Linked DNA regions of Diceros bicornis minor. Each later gene encodes a partner of the first gene's protein in a complex. Links are inferred from orthologs where the notes say so. Each region holds a gene or a part of one and is shown on either strand. Other genes may lie near its edges.

What was found. Proteins that work in one complex are often made in the same cells at the same time.
Region 2: POLR1B (region 1) and TAF1A share a complex: the UniProt entries of both Homo sapiens proteins name them as parts of the pol I pre-initiation complex. The link is inferred for Diceros bicornis minor from reciprocal best matches to the Homo sapiens genes POLR1B and TAF1A.

Annotation. Positions count from the first base shown.
Region 1 is NC_080779.1:19,273,898-19,280,867, forward strand, and holds the start of POLR1B (DNA-directed RNA polymerase I subunit RPA2), read left to right. Parts: upstream 1-3,969; 5' UTR 3,970-4,001; coding exon 4,002-4,178; intron 4,179-6,970. UniProt on the Homo sapiens protein: Catalytic core component of RNA polymerase I (Pol I), a DNA-dependent RNA polymerase which synthesizes ribosomal RNA precursors using the four ribonucleoside triphosphates as substrates.
Region 2 is NC_080777.1:10,819,452-10,827,474, reverse strand, and holds the start of TAF1A (TATA box-binding protein-associated factor RNA polymerase I subunit A), read right to left. Parts: upstream 3,001-8,023; 5' UTR 2,942-3,000; coding exon 2,912-2,941; intron 2,378-2,911; exon of another isoform or gene 2,307-2,377; intron 1,815-2,306; exon of another isoform or gene 1,764-1,814; coding exon 1,631-1,763; intron 1-1,630. Other genes in the region: putative G antigen family E member 3, read right to left, coding at 3,505-3,885. UniProt on the Homo sapiens protein: Component of the transcription factor SL1/TIF-IB complex, which is involved in the assembly of the PIC (pre-initiation complex) during RNA polymerase I-dependent transcription.

The DNA of each region.
Region 1 (6,970 bases):
TAACACTTTCTTTGTAAAAACACTCAAAAAACTAGGAATAAAATGGGAACTTGCTCACCTTGATAAAAGGCATCGTTGGAAAAACCCATAGCCTACTTCATATTTAATGGTGAAAGACTGACATCTTTCTCCCTAATATCAGACACAAAACAAATATGTCCATTCTTGCCACTTCTATTCAACATTAGTACTAAAGGTTCTAGACAGAGCAGTTAGAGGGAAGGAAGGGAGGGAGGGAGGAAGGAAGGGAGGAAGGAAAGAAGGGCATCTAGATTGGAAAGGAAGAATATAACTTTCTATTTTGCAGATGACAACATCTTATATATAGAAAATCCTAAGGAATCTACAAAACCTATTAGATCTAATAAATGAGTTCAGCAAGGTTGCCAGAAACAAGATCAATATCCAAAACTCAATTGTATTTCTATATACTACAAATGAACAATTTGGAAATTAATTTAAGAAAACAATTCCATTTATATCAGCATCAAAAAGAATTAAATACTTAGGAATAACTTTAACAAAAGAAGTTCATTTATACACCAAAAACTAAAAATCATCTTTGAAAGAAATTAAACACCTAAATAAATGGAAAGACATCTCATGTTCATCGATTGGAAGACAATTATTGTTAAGATGAAAATAGGCCCCAGATTGATCTACAGATTGAACACAATCTCTATCAAAAATCTCAGCTGCCTTTTTGCAGAAATTGACAAGCTGACCCTAAAATTCATATGGAAATACAAAGGACCAGGAATAGCCAAAGCAACCTGGAAAAAAAGAAGAACAAAGTTGGAGGACTTACCCTTCCTGATTTCAAAATTTATTACACTAAAGCCAAACTAATCAAGACTGTGTGGTATTGGCATAAGGATAGACATACAGATCAGGGGAATAGAATTGAGAGTCCAGAAATAAATGTGACCTCATATCTGTGGTCAATTGATTTTTGAGAAGGGGCTAAGACAATTCAACGGGGGAAAAAATAGTCTTTTCAACTAATGATGCTAGTACAACTGAATATCCACATGCAAAGAAATGAAGTTGGATGGCTTTCTCACACCATATACAAAAATTAACTCAAAATGGGTCAAAGGCCTAAATGTAAGAGTTGAAACTAAAAAACTCTTAGAAGAAAACATACGTATAAATCTTGATGATCTTGGATTAGTCAATGATTTCTTAGATATGATAGCAAAAGCACAAGCAACAAAAGAAAAAAATAAATAGACTTCATCAATATTAAAAACTTTTGTGCTGCAAAGGACACCATCAAGGAAGTAAAAGACAAACCCACAAAATGGGAGAAAATATTTGCAAATCATATATCTGATAAGGACTGGTATAGAATATATAAAGAACTATTACAACTCAACAATAAAAAGACAACCCAATTTTAAAATGGGCAAAGTATCTAAAAAGAGATTTCTCAAAAAAAAAAAAATACAAATGGCAAATAAACACATGAAAAGGGGTCGGCCTGGTGGCGCAAGTGGTTGGGTGCGCGCTCTGCTGCGGTGGCCCGGGGTTCGCCGGTTCAGATCCCGGGCACGCACTGACGCACCGCTTGGCAAGCCATGCTGTGGCGGCGTCCCATATAAAGTGGAGGAAGATGGGCACGGATGTTAGCCCAGGGCCAGTCTTCCTCAGCAAAAAGAGGAGGATTGGCAGATGTTAGCTCAGGGCCGATCCTCCTCACAAAAAAAAAAAAACCACACATGAAAAGATGCTCAACATCATTAATCATTAGAGAAATGCAAATTAAAACCACAATTAAATACTAATTACATTTATTAGGGTGGATATAATCAAAGGACAATAACAAATACTGGTGAGGGTAGGGAGAAATTGAAATCCTCAAACATTGCTAGTGGGAATGTAAAATTGTACCACTGCTTTGGAAAACAGTTTGGCAGTGCCTCAAAAACTTGAACGTGGAATTACCATATAACCCAGAAATTCCATTCCTAGCTATAATACCTAACAGAATTGAAAACATATGTCCATACAAAGACTTGTGTATGGATATTTATAGCAGTATTATTCCTAATCGCTAAAGGCGGAAACAACCCAAATGTCCATCTACTGGTAAACAGGTAAACAAACTTTGGTATTACCATACAAGGGATTATTATTCAGCCGTGAAAGGAATGAAGTGCTGATACATGCTGCAACATGGATGAACCTTGAAAACAGTGGGGAGATGGTGAGGATGGTCCAACTTTTTAAGACTTGTGTTCTACAGGGGAGCAGAGAAATAGTGTGGTAGCTGAAAGGGACAAGGAATCAGCGAGTTGCTTCTTTTTGTTTTAAGAGTTTTTCAAGCAAGTTTGTATGCTGATGGAAATGACTGCTCCTCCGATAATCCCTTTATTCTCCTGCCTTCTAGGAGCCCTTGACTAGGGGAGAGGGAATGAAGGAAGCGTTTTCCTTAAAAGGAGCAAAGACATTATAAAGGAAGCAAAGGCAGAATTTAGGTTACAGCTGCACAAATCTTGGTAGATTTGATGATGTCAACATGAGATAGAAACAGGAGATAACTTAAAAAAAAAGTGATATAGGAATGAAAATTACCAGCTGACCCAGGTGAAATTGACGGGAGGGAGGGATTACCAAGGGACAGGAGGACACTTTTGGGAGTGGTGGATTAATTCATTAATGCCATTGTGGTGATGGCTTCATGGGTGTATATACAGGTCAAAATTATCAACGTGTACAATGTAAATGTGTGCAGTTTATTGTCTGTCAATTATACTGCCATACAGAATATACCTGTTACACACACACACACACACACACAAAAGATGCAGTTGAAAGACATCTGCAGGCATTCCCTAATGAACCCTACACGGGGGGCGATAACTGACTCATAGGACTCGGAAACTTAAAGGCTCTCGAGGCTGTAAGGCCCCTGAAGGCTGTAAGGCCCGCCATCCCCCTCCCCACCCCGCAGGACGCTGGGGGTCTGGGGAGAGGGGCAGTGAGGGCAGACCGCTGCATGGCTGTCGCGTGATGAGCCGTCACGACTTCAGGGCTGGACAGTGTGGGGGGAACAGGGAGAATCTCCCTCTGCCCTTTCCCTTAAGGTTCTTCTGGCTGGCCAAATAATTAACAAGACAGGTTAGCAAGAGAAAATAATACCAAGTTTAATAACATGTATACATGGGAGAAACTCAGAAATGAGCAACTCGTCCCTCTGTCTCAGCTGCTTGCTTAAGTATTGCAGCTAAAGGCGAGGACCGTGTTGGGGGCGGGTAGTGGCCTGGGACTTCAGAGGGCAGGAAGACAATTCTTTTCAGGGTCATCTATAGATAATGTGGTCAGGGAGAGACAGAGTTTTTGATAAAAGAGGCTTGGTGCCTTTCCTGTTGTAACCTCTATCCTACATTATCTTTACAGCCATCATGATAGAAGATCTGTTCCAGGAAGGAGCCACCATGTCAAATTCTTTAGGCAGTTAGTGGGGGAGGTCAAATGTCCCTCAGAGAAAACAATCAAGGTAAAGAGATAGATTTCAGGGTGGCCAAATCTTGATCTCCCACCACAGACAGAGCCCCCCGGTGCCCAGCAACATCTGCTCTTTCCCCGGAGCCGGCCCCCCGCTGGCTGTCTCCCCAGGGTCATATCGGCATCGGATCCGGAGGGCGGTCGGGGAACAGACGGGAATCTTCGAGGATTGCTCTCCGGTCCTAAGGGACTGGGCGAATGAGCGCCAAAGAGGTCACTCGCTGAAGGGGCGGTGGAACGGGCTTCCGCCTCAGGAATGCTTCGCCGAGGGGGGCGTGGGTGGGGCGGCGAGCTGGCTCTGCACAGTCTTAAACCGGCCCGTTCCCTCCACGGTTCTGGTTCCAAGTCGACCCCATCAAGACGAAGGGCCAAGGGCCGGCGGAACTAGACAAACTACATTTCCCGGCAGGCCGTGGGCGCCGCGTCGCCGGCCTCTCTTCCCGGCGCGCGCGCGCGGGGCGGTCGCCGGCGGCCGGTGCGCAGGCAGACGCATGGATCCCGACGGCCGGTGGCGGAACCTGCCCAGCGGGCCCAGCCTGAAGCACTTGACTGACCCCTCTTACGGGGTCCCGCGGGAGCAGCAACACCCGGCGCTGCAGGAGCTGACGCGGGCGCACGTCGAGTCTTTCAACCACGCTGTGCGCGAGGGGCTCGGCCACGCGGTGCAGGTGAGCGCGGAGTCCGCGCCGGCTCCCTCGGGCCTGCGTTCGCCGGCGCCGCGGCGGAGCCCGGGCGGCCGGAGGCGAGGGGCGCGGCGGGGCTGCAGGAGGGGGTGCGTGTGGGGCGCGGGGCGGGGTGAGGGCGCCCCGCGGCCTGGGACGGGGCCGGGGAGGTCCGGGAGGCGGCGCTGAGTGGGCCCTGGGCGGAGCAGGGCGCAGGCCGGCGACAGGTCCCACAGGGATGGCCGCGAGGGCACAGTGTTGTCCCCAGCAGTCGTGCTCCTTCCTCGTGCCAGGCTCAGCGCGGGGCGTAGGCCCTGGCACCTGGAGTCGAGTCGACTAGGGGGAGATGTATTTGTGATTCCTGGATGTGCGTGTGCTCGGGAACCGTGGTGTTTTGTAGGGCGGTTTACGGGTGCTGTGCGTGTGGAACTGGCCCGTGTGGGGTGTGCTTCCGACAACCAGGCACGACCGCACTCGCTTTTTATAGCACTTGAAGATTTACCTATCCAAAACCTCAAAAGGTTCTGAAACCTATTGGTTGATAGACTGTGATGGGTAAGGTCAGCCTTCACTGTTTTCTTCTCTTAGAGCTTTCGAGGGAGAAAGTACTGGGTACCTGTTCTGAATGAGGCGGGATTAGGAGGATAAAATGAGGCATAACAGCGAGATTCAGTAGGAAAGTGCAATAGCGTTGTTAGGTGACATTTGCTCATCAGTAAGTTATTGCTCTAGAGGGTAATGGTAGCAGAGTTCAAGTGAGGATGGTGGGGGAAGGACTCATTTAGTAAGCATCCCAGCGGCTCCAGGCACCAGGCTCTGAGGGCGAGGAAGAGGCAGTCCCGTGTAAGACGCAGTTCTTGCTTTTGAGTGCTCGGTATCATGTTTTGGGAGTGGGGCGGCGGTGGTGGGGACATGATAGTAGTCACTGCCAATGCTCTTGAGAACTGCTCTGCCAAGGGGTTGTGTAGGGTACTTGGGGAGCTCTAGGGAGTGCAGCTAATCCAGGTTTTTGAGAAAGGGCAGGGTTAGATGAATTGAAGGGAGGAGGAGAGTGCATTCTCTCCAGGGGCTGTGAAGGAGCAGAGCTCAGGGGACACTGTCCTGTGGTTTTGTTGGGTAGGATCTGTGTTGTGAGAGACAGGGATAGAGATAATGTGGAGAGAGAGCTTTGCCAGTCTCTAATACTTGAACTCTATTTTGTGAATAATATGAGAGCCACTGAGGTTTCTTTGAAGATTAATACTCCCTCATGTTTTTGCAAAAGACAGGACTGGTGGGAAATACATATGTCATGCCTGGACTCCTATTGTATCTTGTCTATGAGAAAAATTATATCCAATTAAAAGTTAACTGGCACTGAGGTTTATTAAAACAATGAAAAAAAGAGTCCAAGATTGAGATGATGAAGGAGGGCTTACTCGAAAATAAAAACGGAGTGGGGCCGGCCTGGTGGCATAGTGGTTAAGTTCACATGCTCCATTTCGGCAGCCTGGGGGTTCATGGGTTCGGATATGGACCTACACGCTGCTCATCAAGCCATGCTGTGGCGGTGTCCCACGTACAAAGTGGAGGAAGATTGGCAAGCATGATAGCTCAGGGCCAATCTTCCTCAGATAAATAAATACATAAATAAATAAATACACACATAAAAAGGAGTACATGTCCATGAGAGTTTTTATGAAGGAGTAATATATAGACCAGCGGTTCTCAAACATTTTGGTCCCAGGATTCCTTTCCACTCTTTAGATTCTTGAGGTATCCCAAAGAGCTTCTGTTTATCAATATTTACTCTATAAGAGATTAGAATTGGAGCCGGCCCGGTGGTGTAGTGGTTAAGATCATGCGTTCCGCTTTGGCGGCCTGGGGTTTGCGGGTTTGGATCCTGGGCAGGGACCTGCTTACTGCTCATCAAGCCATGCTGAGGCAGCGTCCCATATAGAAGAACTACAACTCTACAACTATGATACACAACTGTGTACTGGGGATCTGGGGAGAAAAAAGAAAAAACAGGAAGATTGGCAACAGATGTTAGTGCAAGGCCAATCTTCCTCAAAAAAAAAAAAAGAAATTAGAATTGAGAAATTTTAAAAATACTAATTCATTTAAAAATAAACCAATAATATATTTATTTTTTTATTAAAAATATTTTCTAAAGCAAAAAAGAAATTAGCAGATGAAGGATATTTTTGTGTATCTTTTAAATGTCTGGCTTATTAGAAGACAGCTGGATTCTCATATCTGCTTCTGCATTCAGTCTCTTACGGTATGTTGTTTTGGTTGAAGTACATGAGAAAATCGGGCCCCACACAGATAATCCTGACACTGCAGCTTAGCTGGTACCATAATACGATTTGAAAATGTTGTCTTATAAAGCATAGTAAGGTAAGTGACTAACATTTATAGAGGCAAGGGGAAAACAGCCTCTATCATATTTTCTTTGGAGTAGATTCCTCCATTCTGTGAGTCTAAGTTGATATGTCTGTCACAGTCATCTTTTCAGAATACAGTTGATTCCCATTATTCTGGAATTCCATATCTGTGCATTGCCTACTTGCTAAATTGTATTTGTAACCCAAAATCAGTACTCACCAACATGTGCAGAGTGGCGAAAAATTTGAGTTACCCAGTGCACACGTCCCAACTGAGGTCCAACAAGGCGATGCTCTGCTTTCTCGTTCCCAGCTCTTATACTGTAGATAGGTCTCCTTTTTGAGGTCTGTTCAGTTTTTCACATTCTTGTGCTTTTTGATGGTGATTTTGCTGTTTAAAATGGCCCTCAAGTATAGTGCTGGAGTGCT
Region 2 (8,023 bases), on another chromosome or scaffold:
TTGCGTCAGTCCGAGCCCAGGATCCAAACCTGTGAACCCTGGGCCACCGAGGCGGAGCGTGCAAACTCAACCGCTACGACACCGGGCCAGCCCCCGGAAAATACATTTTGATGGAATGAAATACAATAAAGACGGTGTCATAAACCTAATTTCTAATGCCCTTGAAAGAATCTGGAAACTCGTCGGTCAGTCTCAAATATTTTTTGAGCACTACCATGCACCAAGCACTATTCTAGGTACTCAACATACAGCTTGATTCCCAACTCGCTCATGTCTTCAAAGTTTTTATTCTAGGGGGCACATCCTTCCAAATGCCAAAAGGTATCTATCAAAATAAAAAATAAATAATTGTTAGGCAATTGTGTTTTCCTATTATGGTTAATTATCACTACAATGCCAGTATTACCTGCAACTATCTTCTCATTGCAGGCATAAAGTATTTGGAGTTTAACAGGCTATCCATAATCTACAAAACACTCCTAAGCACGTAAATTCTGGTCTTTAACCTATTTGCTTCTGGACTGACTCAAGCTCTCTGTAGACACTGGTGACAGAAACAAGCCCAGGGATGCCTTAACTAGCAGGAACTTTAGATTACTACTTCCCTACAAGGAGTGAAGTACTATTCTCTCTAAAGTACAATCCATTCAAACCTGGCTTAAACCATGTGCATTAATATAGCAAAAATAAAATGAGAAGAGAAGAAAGAAACCATTATTTTTTCAACACTCACTACACACAAGGCTCTGTGCTAGGCACTTTATATATATTATCCCATTTTTTTATATATCGCAGTCACTAAAAGTTCAGCCTTTGAGATCAGATAGACCTGGGTTTGACTCCTGGTACCAACATTTAGAGTTTAACTTCGCTGAGATTCAGTTTCCTCATCTCCAAAATGGCCTAGCACATAGATTTACTGAGGATTAATTTACTGAGATAATAAAATGAGATGATACTTAGTTGAAAGAAGAAGATAAAGGAGCTAAATTCTAGGAGCCAAGGAATCTCAGTCAAGGGGAAAGAAGGCTAGACTAAGAAGATGTATTTGAGGCTAATAAGAAAAGTGCTGGTTCACATGTATTCCTAGGACTACACCACCCAAAATGCCAACATACAGATAACTGCTTCTTTTATATATTCAGATAGGGAGTTGATCCCATAGAAAAACTTGCTTCTATTTACATTAGATGAAAATGGGGGAAAATTTCTTTTTTTGAAACATATTATACATGAATTCTATTAGGAATTATTTCAATGCAGTTCAACAGAAACTTCTTGAAAACACCTCCTAGGTATGTACTCCTCAATGGCAGAGACCATATCTTCTTCATCCATGTATCTCAAATATTTAGCCAATGCCAGGGACATAAGTGCTCAGTAAGTACTGCTGGAAAAAAGAATGTGTATCTACCATAATACAGACTATCTGTTCTTAATTCAAAGGAGAAGAATTCTGAAAAAAAAGAAGCATATTTTTATGATTTCTTTTTTGCTTACAGCCTTAAAAAAACCTCATATATTCCTATCTTGAAAACTGAACCAGCTTAGTTATTCATTTTTGTAACCATACTGAATCTCATCATCTCCGCGCGTTCAAGTTAAAACGGTTATATGTTATTTTACTTACCCACAGTTTCTATATGCTTTTGGAGCCAAGGAAGTTGCATTCCTGTACCGGAGAGCTCACAGGTTTCCCGCCGGTCATCCTCTGTTACAGACTTTATCAATTCTTCACTGAAATCACTCATACCTATTCCAAACTGAGAATATCAATTACTCTCTGTACATCTTAATCCACAGGCTTCTGAGTTCTACAGGAAAAAAAAACCATCTTTTTACCTAATAAATATCATTTGATTAACAAAATTAACTGTACCTAGTAGTTCCCTCGAAGAAAAAAACCAATTTAATTATGTCAGCTACAGCCAAAAATAATGATCCATTCAAAAAAAAAAAAACTTAACTACTATTATATTTCAAGAACATACAAAGATAGATACTAACCTTTTAATTAAAAAAATACTCAAGTCTAGAGCAAAATGACGCAAAATGACGCATAATAACAAAATAATAGGACAAGTAAGTCCAATAATAATAATAGGAGTTAACATTTATTGGGCCTGTTCTACACACCAGGCATATAAATTATCTAATTTAATCCTTACAGAAATCCTAAGGAAAGTACTATTATTTTCTTCCATTTTCATGTCGAAAAAACTGAGAGATTAGTGAAATTATGTGACCTGGTCCACCGTCACAAGAAAGGAGAGAACAATATTATAGGAACTAGAACACGAAACTACCTGGCATGAATAGAGTCTGGGGTCTGCGTGGAGGAGGCGGCAGAAGGCAGAACTGACGGCGGGAAAGGAATCTAGAAAGACAGCCATTTTCCAAGCTGAGTCTGGACTTGATCCTCAAGATACTCAGGGCCCCATATCCAATGGATTACGAGGTCCTGCTGATACTACCTGCTAGCACTTCTCCAGTCTTCCCTCTTCTCCGCAATCCTACGTCACTACCCCAGTTCAGGACACCTTCAAACTGGGTCTAGATTACTGCTTTAGCTTTCTCTCTGGTTACCCTGCTTCGAATTTTGCTTCTCCACATTACAGCCACGTAAACCTTTTAAAATCAAATGCTAGGGTTAGGAGCGTGGGCTTGAAATAACACCTGAATCTGCAACCGACCCACATGTATTTTAAGACGTCGTTCCATAAGGAGCTCTCCCTTCCCAAAGTCTCAAAGACTAAATTGATGTCACGCGGTTGCCACGGTAACCAAAGCTTCTCCACCCCTTCTGCCCAGTTCTCGGACCTCGAGGTTTCAGAGCATCAAGAGAAGATAGCAGAAGGAACACAGGTGAATCCTAGCACAGCCCTTCCCGTTCCACTGTGAATGCACTTACCTGCCTAAAGCCGGAGCTCTTCTGTAACATTAAACTCTAGGTCCCGACTCCAGAAGCAACGTGAGGAACCCTTCCCCGGAAGCGAAGTTAGCGAGTGCTTCCCGTGAGCATGCGCAAAATCTGCCTCGGGCGTCCCTGCGGTGCGCAGACGCAGCCCCGCCCCTAACTCCTCCTTCCGCGGTGGAGGCGTGGCTGTCCGCGCCTCGACCCCGGAAGTGACCCGGAAGTGACCGTTGACTGTCGCCCTCGCTTTGGGATGGCTCCAGGTTTGTGACTTAGTCTGTCGCAGCCGCAAAATAGGAGAGTTTAACTGCAAATGAAGATGGGAGTGAGGGCACCTGGAAGAGAGGAATGGTCAAAAAAGCAGAATGTCACTTTACCCGAGTAATTCACTGTACGATGACCTTTCCGTTCCTGCTTGGCTCAGGGTTGCACTGCGCGAGCCTCGGAGGCGTGGCTGGCGGTCCTGACAAGATAAATCGTTACATAGCCTAACTGCTTCCTTGAAATGTTTTTTCTCTTTTATTAAAGTTTTAGCTTTGAATTTTTTTTTATTTGAAGAAAGTTGTAAAACTTTATTCAGAGATTAACTCTCAAATTTCCACCGTAAGGACAGCATGCTTGAAAATTTGTGGTTGTCCTTTACCTGCTTCTGGCATTTTAATGGGCTCTAGATGTGGTAGAATCTCTTCCTCGACATCAGGACCTTCTCCAGGCTCATCCACAGTCTTCAACAGGGTCAGTTCCTGTTGATCAGTTTCCACATCAGGCCCGTGAACTGAAGGTGCTCCTTCATCATCAATGTCCTGAGCAGGTATAATATCCTGACTCTCAGTTGGTGGTTCCTCTAGTTGAGGTTGTTCATCACTGGGCTGCTGAGCAACCACAGGTTCAACTGGCTGAGAAGACTCTCGATCATGTTTTCTTCCTGCAGCTTTGGATCTTGTTCTTACATGCCAACTCATATTTCCCATGGCTGAGTTTCAGCCAGCGAGAAAGAATCAAGATGGCAGGAACATGACCTCCCCTGGCACAGCGACTGGCACAGAAGAAAAGCTAGCTTTGAATTTAAGTGACTCTGACTGCCTGCCCAAAATTTGGACAAGCATACCTTTTTCCTTCTCGGGGGATGGTTCCGTGGATCCGTGTGGGGTGACTTTTCATAACGAATTGCCAAACTTCTGTGAAATAGGAGTCGAAAGTAAGATGATTAAATGTGAAATGAGGGCAAGTTGAGGAGGTCTAGGAAAGATGATCCTGGGAAAGCAGAGACACATGCGAACATAATATGTATCTCCAAAATTTGTGGAGTTGATCTGTGAAAGAAGGGTAAGACTATTTTTTCATAGAATCAGAGAATAGAACTAGGACTAAGTAGGTAAAGTTAAAGGGAAACAGCGTAAAGTCATTACAAGAATTTTGTTCGTAAATAAGGCTGCGCAAATAACGGCACAGGCTCCCACATGAATCTTTGGATTTCCTCTACCCTGAAAGTGAACCATTTGAGCAGAATCAGAGTGTTGTAGAGGAGATTAAAGGGTCTAATAAAAGTTTGTACAGCGACTCCTTAAAATGCTGCAAATACTTGATTCTATGTTGTCTTGATAAATACTATGCAGTAGCTATGGGCTTGCAGGAAAAATTCCTTTGGCTGATCCTTGTGTCATAAGTCCTTGGCCTCACTCAAGCCTGTACTCTAATTCCACAGGCAAGGCTGACCTAAATGATAATGTCCAGGAGGGCACACACACAAAATAACAGCCATAAGCTTCTAGTCTAGAGGTTTGATCTGGGCACATTGCTCGCCTTGCTATGGGAAGGTATGAGGTGTGATTTCACCAAAACCAATCCAGAACTGATTTTATGTGGCTAGAAATTCATGCTCTCACAAAAATGGGGAAGAAATTTCTGATTTACCTTAACGTTCTCAGGCAACTGTGGGCAATGGTAGATAAATCTAAAGAGAGAAAGTTAAGAACTAATATCTTTATATGCTCTACCTACCTCTTCTCTTTTCCATGGTACAATTCTGGTAAAAAGTGCGTTAGGGAGAAGAGAGTAAAAAGAAAATGATTATACTATATCACATGGAATAGCATAAATAAGATTTAAAAAAAGGAAATAGTCTGACAAAAATGCAAACATAAAACAATGCATGCAGAAGACTTTCTAGACTCTGATCTAGAAGAAAACATATCCTAAGGAACAAAGATGTTCTTACAATTGCATTGTGCTAAAGAGTAACTTAATATGATGTTGAATTACGTTTTTTAAAAAAACTGCAAACTGTTATTTAGAGAATATTATTCCCATGAACCCTTCAATTATTCCCATAAACCCTTTATTAGATTCCCTGCAGTCTAATAGAGAACAAGCTTCAGACAACCAAACAATTGGAAAGACATCATCGTAAGTAGACTATACTATATCACAGCTAATAATATGAACAAGATAAAAAAGGAATATGGCAAAATGAAAGCATAAGAACAAAACAGGTCACATAACAATATAGAGAAAAATATTATCCAACTATAAACTCCCCCAAATACGTGGACTAGGACCCCACCCCAGACTTGAGGAAAAACTATGGCCTCAAAGGTACAACTTCATTTTTTTTGCCCGTTTGGTGCCCTGAGCTACTCTGCAAAGAAGTCCAGGCTATCCTACTGGGGAGAGAGAGGCTGCAGGAAAAAAGAGTCCCTGGAGGATGAAACACCACACAGAGAGATGCCACATGAAGAGGACAGTCAGCATCTTAATTCCACATGTGTGAGGAAGTCCTTCTCAGATCTTGTCTCCCAAATCAGTCACTGGCTAAATGCAGCCGCATAAGTGAGTACAGTTGACAACACAGGGGCAGAGGTAAACTATTCTCACCAAGCCCGGTACAAATTCCTGATTCACAATATGGTGAGTAACAAAATGGTGGTTGTTCTAAGCCACTAAATTTTGGAGTAGTTTGTTACACAGCAATAGAAAACTGAAACACTGAATTGATCATTTGCATCTTCCATCTTTTTTTCTTCATCAGTCGATCTTGTTAGACATTACCAGTTTATTTATGCTGCAGTCAGAAAACAAACTCTGTGAGATGTCAAGATTTTAAAAATTTCAGAGACTTACTTTATTGCCCAAAGTATAGTCTATTTTGGTAAATGTTCCGTGGACACTAGAAAAGAATGTGTGTTCTACAGCTGTTGAGTGTCATGTTTTACCAATGTCAATGAGGTTAAGGTGGTTGTTAGTTTTGTTCAGATCTTCTGCATTGTTACTGATTTTTCATATCACCGTATGAACACTTACTATTAATTACTGAGGTAGGCGTGTTAAAATGGCAAACTATGTTTGTGAATTTGTCTCTTTCTTTAGTTTTGTCAGCTTTCCTTCACATATTTTGAAGCTTTGTTATTGAACACACAAACATTTGTGGTTCTTATATCTTCCTGATGAAATAACCATTTTATCATTATAAATATCCTTTATATCTCTGATAAAACTCTTTATCTTGAATGAGTTTGTTTGATATTAATATAGTCACAGCCATGTTCTCAGCTTACTGTTTGTGGGGTATATCTTTTTCCATTTTTCTACTTTCAACCTATCTGTGTTTTTTATTTAATGTACTTCCCTTGTTGACAATAATTAGTTGGAGCCACATATTTTTAATCCAATCTGACAATCACTATCTTTTAATTGGTGTGTTTTATTCATTTATATGAATTATAATAATTGATATTTTTGAATTTAAGTCTATCATTTTTCTATTTGTTTCCAATTTGTCCCATTAGTTTTTTGTTCCTCTATTCTTCACTTCCTGCCATTTTTGGGATTAATCAAATGTTTTGGTATTCCGTTTTAATTCCTCTGTTAGCTTTTAGCTATATCTCTTTGCATTATTGTTTTAGCAGTGTTTCTAGGAATTATGATATGCATTCTTAAATTATCACAGTCTACTTGGAGTTAAAATTGTGATACTTCACATAAAATAAAGGAGCCTTACCACAGTATAATTCCATTTACCACCACCCCCAAGTCATTCGTGCTTTATTGTCATCTATATTATATCTACATACATTGTTATTTTTGCTTTAAACAGTTATATGTATTTTAAAGAAATTCAGAGAAGAAAAATATATATTGCCTTTTATATTTACCTATGCTTTACCGTTTCCAGTACCTTTCATTCCTTCCAGTAAATTATCTTCAAAAATAGCTGCCAGGAATTCTCCCCACTCGTGTACATGCGTGTTGCTTTTCCCATTAAGAAGTAGAGTCTGTTGTCTCACCCCTTGAATCTGGGCTAGTCATTTGACTTGATGCACAAAATATGGCAAAAGTGATGCCATGCCAGTTCTAAGACTAGGACTTAAGAAGTCTTGCACTTTCCACTTTTATCCTCTAGGAATCCAGCCAAGAAGAAAGTAAGTTTAGGCTAGATTACTGAATACAGGCATACCTCATTTTACTGCACTTTGCTTTATTGTGTTTTGCAAATATTGCATTTTTTACGAGACCCTCCACCAGTAAAAAGATTATGACTCACTGAAGGCTCAGATGATGGTTAACATTTTTTAGCAATAAAGTATTTTTTTTATTAAGGTATGTACATTTTTTTAAACATAATGCTATTGCACACTTAATAGACTACAGTATAGTGTAAACATAACTTTTATATGCACTGAGAAACCAAAAACTTTGTGTGACTCGCTTTATTGCAATATTCGCTTTATTGTGGTGGTCTGGAACTGAGCCCACAATATCTCCGAGGTATGCCTGTGATGACAAATGTTTGGAGAGAGAGAGGCCCATCCTAGCCATTTCAGCCACCACAACTGAGCCACCAGACACGTGAATGAAGCTATTTTGGAAGTTTCAGCCCTGGCCAAGCTCCCAGCTGAATGCAGCCACGTGCACTCATGAACCACCCAGTTAAGTCCAGCGAAGGCACAGTATTAAGAGAAATAATAAATTATTATCATTTTAAACCATTAGCTTTATTACATAGTAAGGGATGACTAAAACACTATAGATTTAAGTTTCCATTGAATGTGCCATCATCTCCTTTCATCCCAAAGAATTTCTTTTAGCATTGCTTGTAGTACAGGTCTGTTG